Linked DNA regions of Cricetulus griseus. The protein of the gene in region 2 interacts with the protein of the main gene of each other region in a pairwise test. Links are inferred from orthologs where the notes say so. Each region holds a gene or a part of one and is shown on either strand. Other genes may lie near its edges.

Region 1 (3,745 bases), on a different chromosome or scaffold from region 2:
CATTTGTCTTTAAAATAAAACTAGCTGCACGTCAAGTTTGAGCTTAATTTCTGGAAATAGGCGGAAGTCGCTCCGGATCATGCATGGAAGGCTAATTGAAAAGATCAGTCGGGGCGCTTGTGGCAGCCTTGTCACTTTGTGACAGTGCTCCGCTCCGGGAAATTGCATCGTCACGACAAACGGGACCGTGATAAAACGACCCTTTCCGTCCCTATTTGTAGATCACTCAGACGAGAATGAACTGTACTCGTCTCCCCTTCGAGGGGAGCTGCGTTTTCTGGGTAGCCCGAGGCTTGGGGCTGGAGGGGGGTTATAGCTCACCGAGGGGGGGCGGGGCCTCAATTGGATGAGAAGTGACAGGCGTTTAGGGATCTGGGCTCCGGCCGGGCCGGGCCAGTGCAAGAGGGTACATTGCACATTGCAGGAGACAGGTCGCTTCTCCAACATAGCAAGGCCTACCCTGCGCTTCCGGTTTCTCTTTAATTTTCTTTATCGTCCACGTTGGTTTTCTAAGTCTCATTTACCATGCAATTTATGGAGGCCGGTCTCTGGGCAAACCTTCTCAAAAAGGAAAGGCCATCTCAGAGAAACTTTCCAAGCAGCAGCCAGGATAATTCCTAGTCTACAGATGCTAGAGCATACAAGGCCTCTAATCGTAGATTTTTTTTTCCTCCTCCTTTATTGCAAAAATAACGTGGCCAGTAAGTACCTCCACAGCTGCAGCCCGCATGTGCTGGTCCGAGAGACACTGGGCCAGGGTGCCTCTGCCAGCATCGAAATGGCAGCGAGGAAACATAGCTCTAAATTCCCCTTTAGAGGTTAAGCCTCAATCATTGTGTCCCTTCCCTAGGGACTGCTGGCGTTCTCGCCCAGTGGCGATGATTATGCGCCTAGAATTCGACCGCAAAGCTTCTAATAGGAAAACATATGGTGTCAATTTGGATGCTCTGCGCCTTGCGCACACTCGGGAACCAGCCACACAAAGCCTACAGGCCAACCCGCGACCCGTGCCCCTCTGGGCCTGCCAGCCAGGTCATGGTGGAGGGGCAAACGCTTGTGGCTGAGCGCCTCTGCCCACCTGAAAACCTAAGGCAAGAGAGTCAGAGCTCCATGGTATTCGCTTCGCCAAGGAAAGTGCCTCCTGGGCCAAGCCCTAGGATCTGACAGGTTCTGTAGAAACACAGCTGCAAAGCACCCATCTTTGATCTCTTTCCTGAGTTTAGCCCCCCCACCCCATCCTGTGGCATCATCAGGGCAGCCAGCTATTACAGAACGTGGACCCGAGCTGCTGGGAACTCTATTAAGCCAGTACAGCTCCATAACTGCATGTTTCTAGAAGACCTAGGCCTCTCTACACGCCCAAGCACAGTTGTATCCTTAAGCCTGTGTAGACTCCCTAACCCTAACCCGGCCTAGTTTCACTAGCTGCCAGGCTTGAATTTTTTTTTTTTTTTTTTTTTTTTGGCTTAACTCTGTCATATACCAGCAGCCATTGGCTAAGCAGAAAGGTTAGGCCCCAAAGGGCCTGGCCAAAGGTTAGAGAAAGGCACAAAGGCTGTGGAATCAAAGGTACTAAGAGACTGGATCAACGAGGACCCACGTAGCTGCACTTGCTAGTGCAAGGTTTTCCCAATTCCTGACCAGCCCCAATAAACCCTGCTTTCAACACCTTATGCGGGGCTGGGGGGGTCTCCCCATCACTGGCCCTGGGTGCTCCACTCCCCTTCCCTTTTAGGCCTATAGCTAGGGGGGGAAGGGGAGGGGAGGAGCTGGCCTAAGATTGACTAGGGGAGGGAAGGCCCCCCAACACACACACCCCTCAGGGTCGTAGGAGATGTTCAGTCTTGGCCAAGCCCAAAGGGGCCTCCTTCTCTTCTCAGGAGAAGCCTTTGCCCCGCCCTACTCAGCCCAGCCCCCCTCTCTGGGGTCAGAGCCCGGGCAGGGGCGGGGAGGGGGTATGAGTTACAGGATTTGGGGGGATGGGGTTTCTCCACCGCAGCTTCAAAAACTCGGGCCAGTAGTTTTGAAGAGCCCCAGCTTCTTCCCTTCTAGAGCACAGCAGAGCAAATGCCTCCCTACCCTCCCTCGCTGGCTACTTGGCACTCAACGCGTGCAGCCCAAATAAATTCCCCAGGCCTCCTCCCTCTCGCCCAGTGGCCTGGAGTCCCCAGGGCCCAAGACTCTGTGTACCCCCCTAACCGGTCGGCACGCCTCCAGCCCAAGAGTCCAGGGAAAGACCCGAGACACTCACTGTTCTGCATGCTGGCGCTGGTTGGCGGCCTCCGGGTCCCACGGGGCTCGAATGCGGGGCTCTGTTAGTAAGAAAATTGGAGTTAATCCCCGGCTTTGCACAGGTAGGCCTGCACTCCTACTGAGGAAGACCTGGTGGTGCCTGCACTGGAGATTCCTCCTTTTCTTAGAAATTGAGCTACTCAACCGCTTGGGGCGATCTGAGGGTCAGCTAGCCCTGTTCTCCTATGCATGCAAAATGTACTTTGGGAGCTACGGATAAAATAATCTAACATTCACAATCAGTTTCCTCAAATATTTTTGTTCTTAGCCTTTTAATCAGAACAAACGATGATCCCAGTTTTTTTTTTGGGGGGGGGGTCTACCAGAACTATGGTTTTTTAAAAAACTCTTTCAGAATGTGAAGCCCCAAACAGCATCATAGAACTTGCCTGAAAACTGAGATGTATGTCCACTCTTAGAATAGAAGATCTCACACATCTGCTCACCTCTAGTTAAAGTCTTCTGCCTGAGATAAAACAGAGGGAAAGAAAGGTATATGTCAGCTTGGCCCCAACACATAGGTTGACTGGTAGTCTGAGGCCCACTCTCAACCCACAGTGAATCCAGGGTTGGCTCCTTCTGCTTGGAAACACTAAGGCGTCACACTTGCAGTGGCCTCTCCTACAGACACCAACATCCTTCGGAAACGGTGCTTTGGCTAGGCTTGGTTGGGTGAATTGGGGAGACTAGAGTTGTGGTCTCGCTTTGCAAAACTAATAAGCACCAGGGAAAGAGGAGGGCTTAAATCCGAAAAGCCAAGAGTGGAGTAGAAACCGAACTGGGTAAGGAAAGCAACTAACCCCTGAAGTGTGGAGGTGAAAGGAATCTTAAGGTCTTGGTGGTGCCTGAGCGCCCGCTTGGGTTAGAGAAGTCTCGGGAGTGAGCCTCAGACCAGACTCCCTCCATTCCTAAGGAATTTCAGCACCTCAGTTGTCCCAAGATCCCTAGAACTTAAGTTCTTTGGTTAGTTACTCTTTTATCCTTCACTCCCCCCACCCTACCCCCAAAGTCTTCTGGTCAGACCCCCACAACCAATCTCTCAGCTCTTTCAGGACTTAGCAAGTGGTGAGCCCAACTTTTTACCCTAAACCTCATTTATTGTAATTAACTTTGCTTTTAGTGTTTAGCTCTTTCTCTCCTTTCCTGTACTGTGACACTTGCTGTCTACCTCGCCTCACTGCTTTAAAAACTACAAACAGGAGGGGGTGAACACGGTCTACAAAGTCTACAGACACCGAACAATGGCTTCTATTCCGCAGCTTTCCCCAAACCCAAAGAGCAAAGCTGAGACTCTCAAACCAGCAACACCAGGTCCAAGCAAAGGAACCACAACTCTCCAACTCACAAAGGGAAAAGATGGACTCTTCTCATTGAAGTCCTGACCCACTATAGTACCCTCCAATGCTTCCAACCTGCTCACCCTCCCTACCTTCCCGCAAAAAAAGAGGGTTCT
Region 2 (3,745 bases):
GCAGACATCAGCACACTCATGTCACATGCATACACAAATATACACAAACACAAACAAAAATAAATCTGAAAACTAGTGGACAGAAGCTGGAGAGAGAGGTGCCCCTGGAGCAGGAGGATGTGCTCAGTCCAGGGTTCCATTTGATGCCCCTAAGAGGCACAAGGAGTGTGCAAAGTTGGAGCAAGGTGGCAAATGACCACTACCCAGGGCACGCAAGGGGTCTCGCTATCTGTGAACCTACCCCAAGGAACACAGATGCCAATCACCGCCCATGTCCCCGCCCACCTGGGTCAGCTGCTGTTCAGAGGCAAAGCCTAGGCCATAGACAGTGTTGGCTCGACTATCTGCCCACTGCCCGAACTTCTGCGAGGTTTTGGTGAAGGTCATGTTGGGGGTGACTGTGCTGTTGATGATGGCCTGGGGGTGGGGAAAACAAGATTCAAGGTTAGCAGGAGTGATAAAGACCACCATGAGCAGCCAGCCTCACGGCCTGAGGGAGGAGTATTTAAAGTTTAAGGCCAACCTTGGACTACATAGTGGATTAAAAAATAATTCTAGGCACCTGTCTCAGTAGACGATCCCTACCCAGAATCCCCCAGAGGCATAGCTATGGGCTGATCCCCTGCCTAGAATTCCCCCAGTGAGAGCCCACTGAGGTCTAGCCCTCTAAAGGCTCCCATTGCACAAGTCGCGCAGCCTGGCCCTGTGGCGGCACGTCATGGGGCCAGCACCTGCCCCCAGGACCCTGCTCAGACCTTGGCACCCCCGATGCAGATGATTCGGTACACATTTCTGGTTGCATCGTAGAAATAGGACACAGTAAGTGCGTGCTTGCCGGCGGGGATCCAGTTCCGCTTGGTAGTGGGGTCAATCTGGAACACGTGTGCCCGGGTGCTGAAGATTGGCTGTTCCCTGCGTGGGGGGGGGGGGGGGGAGACGGGGACGGGACAGGGATGACAGAAGTTCTGTAGGGGGCTGGCCACCCAGAGGGCTAGGCCTGACCAGAGTGGGTGGGTGCTCACCTGGCTGTGGACATTGGTCAGGCTGGGATGGGTGGCCTCTAAGGGGTACTCGGAGAGGTGACAGGAGCCTCTTGTTTGGTCTCTGGGGAGAGAAGGGCTTGTGAGCAAGGACCCAGGGATGTTCAGGGCAGGTCCTCCAGGTGACTTCCTTCACAAAAGCAGGAAGGAAGGAATCAGAGCATTTCCTACAGCCACCACCAGTCTCGGCCCAAGCTGGCCTTGAATCACTTGAATCACATACTCACTGTCCAGGTTACCAGCCACTGGGAAAGTCTCTTCCCACAGGAACTGGGCATGAGACCGAGATCAAGTGAGTAGGACATTTTATTCCCCCTCCCATCCAACAGCCCGCAGAGGGCCTAGCATCAAAAAGTGTGACACAGCTGAATCAGTGGTGGCAGCCAGGGGTCCCATCTACTCAGGAGGCCACGGCAGTTAGAGCATGCAGCCTCGGAGTTCAAGGCCACCCCTGGACATCACTGCCAGATCCCCATCTCTGAGAATAAAAGTGGAGTACTTTCAGGGCCTGACAGGGAACTCAGGACCCTCTGCTCCTACCAAAGGGCGGCTTAGCATACACCCCGAGGGCAAGGCTACACCTTGGAGTCCAAGTCGAGGCCAGGGAGCCCTAGCCTATTTAAACGGTAAAATGAAAGTTTGTCTTGGTGGCAAATGTCATCCTACCAGCACTGTGGAGGATGAGACAGAAGGCAAGCGACTCGTCCCAGTCCCCACGATGGGAGCAGAGAACCAGACTGAGAGAAGGGGGCTTCCCTGAGTTTTGGATACCCTCCTGAACCCCCGAATCTGCACTCGAGAAGACTGGGAGGGTCCTGCGGATGCAGGGCCAGGCTCCGGAGGCCAGGGCTGCCCCATGCTGCCGCGGGCAGCGGCTGCTGTGGTGCGGTCACGGGGTCTGAAACCGGAGCCCCCCATGCGGGGGAGGGGCGGCTGAACTCGAGTGGGATAAGTACTAGGACTGGCGGAGACTGGGGAGACGGGGTCCCCGAACCCAGGCCCTTCCGGTCGGGCCGCTCCTGCCGGGACTTGCTGAGGTCGGGAAAAGTTACTCACCAAGAAGTCACGCGCCTCGCAGCGGCGGCGCGGGGCAGGGGATCACGCCCGCGCGCCGTGGGGCTCCTGCCGCAAGCCCCGCGCCGGGCAGCCCTGCGCCCCCCTCCCGGAGCCGCCGACCCGCAACTTTCCAAGCGGCAGAGCTCGCGACTCGGCGCCTCCCACACCTGGAGCCGGGGCTGGGGGACCCGGTGCACTGCGCCCCGCGCCCCAGGACCCCGGCCCTTCAGCCCGCACCCCTCAGCGCCCCGGCCCCGGCCCCGCCGCACAGCCCGCAACTTTGGAAACCGTCTGCGCTCCCGAGCCCTCTGCGCCCCCCGCGCCCCGATCGCGCCTCAGGAGCTGGGCCCCTGTCGGTCCGGCTCACCCCTCGCCGCCGCCTTCGGCCCGCTCCCTCCGCGCGCCCCTCGCTACCCGCGCCTTTGTCTGCGCCGCCTCCGGTCCCATCGCGGCCAGTCCCCGCGCCGCCCCGCCTCTGCACAGCGCCCCCTGCCGGCCAGCGTCCGAGGGCGGGGAGGAGGAGGAGAGCCCAGAAGGGAGCAGGGAGGGCAACCAGCAAGGGCGAAGCGGGGGGAAAGGGATGGGGTGAGGGGCAGAAGAAGGGGAGGAGGGCACCAGGAGGCCAGGAGGAGGGACTGGGGGGGCAGAGGGAGGGAGCAAAAGGAAGAAGCGGGGGTGAGGTGGGCAGGGGACGGAGGGCGGGGCCTGGGAAGGAGTGGGGACTGGAAGGCAGGGTGAGGGGACCGCAGGGCGAGGAGGGCTGAGGGGGACAGGGTAGAGAAGGCGCAGGGAAGGCTGGCCTTTGGAGGGCCGGGAGGGAGGGGCCCATGGGATCAGGGGGTTGGAGCAGAAGGGATTAGAGGCAGGGGCCGGAAAAGAAGGCGGAGCTTCTTGGAGACAGGGAAGAGGTGGAAGGTGGCAGGGGTGAGGGCGGCGGGCTGGAGAAGGGCGTGGAGGGTAGGGGCACAGGAGAGCCTGTCCGGAGGGGCCGTGGGTCAGAGCCCAGGGTGATGGGCTGGAGGCTGCGAAGACAGGGTGGGTGTTGGTGGGTGTATCGGGGCAGGGTGTGTGGACAGCAGCGGACATCCTGGATGAGCCAGAGACCCGGAGATAGCGAGAGACACAGGAAATGAGTGGACAGTGACCCCTTGCTTTCCTGCCTCTTACCAGGGGTGGCCCTGGAGCCTTCAGGTGGCTTCTTGGTTAACTGGGGTCTGGCCGCTGACGCTGTAGGGCTGCGAGATGAGGCTGAGGAGGACAGCGTGTGGCTGCTCGTGGGCTGCATACAGTAGGTGCTCAATGGGTATTGCCAGAGTCTAGTAGCAGGTTCTAGACCTAGCTGGACGGGTTGTCTCACTGTGACATTCCCGCACCCCGGGGCTGAGACCAGACTGGGTCACACAGTGAGACCTTGTCCCCCAAAACAGAAAAAAAATAAAATAAAATGTCTTGGACCCTCAGCTTGAACCCTGCTCCCCAATACAGGTGTGTGGGTGGGGGGCTGCAACTCACTGTGGAGAGCTCTTGCCGAGCTTCCACGGAGCCCTGGGCTCCACCCCAGCACCACGGATTAGTAATGGTGGCACACACCTCTAACCCCAGCACTTGAGAGGAACAGTCAGGCAGAGAGCTCTGTGAGTTCTGGGCTC

Evidence for each region. The genes of interacting proteins can lie anywhere in the genome.
Region 1: the proteins of Homer3 (region 2) and Pax6 interact in binary tests that used the Homo sapiens proteins (3 or more experiments, as listed by UniProt). The link is inferred for Cricetulus griseus from reciprocal best matches to the Homo sapiens genes HOMER3 and PAX6.

The regions. Positions count from the first base shown.
Region 1 is NC_048599.1:72,004,655-72,008,399, forward strand, and holds the start of Pax6 (paired box protein Pax-6), read right to left. Parts: upstream 2,262-3,745; coding exon 2,252-2,261; intron 1-2,251. UniProt on the Homo sapiens protein: Transcription factor with important functions in the development of the eye, nose, central nervous system and pancreas. Required for the differentiation of pancreatic islet alpha cells.
Region 2 is NW_023276806.1:248,684,398-248,688,142, forward strand, and holds the start of Homer3 (homer protein homolog 3), read right to left. Parts: upstream 2,603-3,745; 5' UTR 2,464-2,602; intron 1,105-2,463; 5' UTR 1,037-1,104; coding exon 1,023-1,036; intron 913-1,022; coding exon 756-912; intron 418-755; coding exon 286-417; intron 1-285. UniProt on the Homo sapiens protein: Postsynaptic density scaffolding protein. Binds and cross-links cytoplasmic regions of GRM1, GRM5, ITPR1, DNM3, RYR1, RYR2, SHANK1 and SHANK3.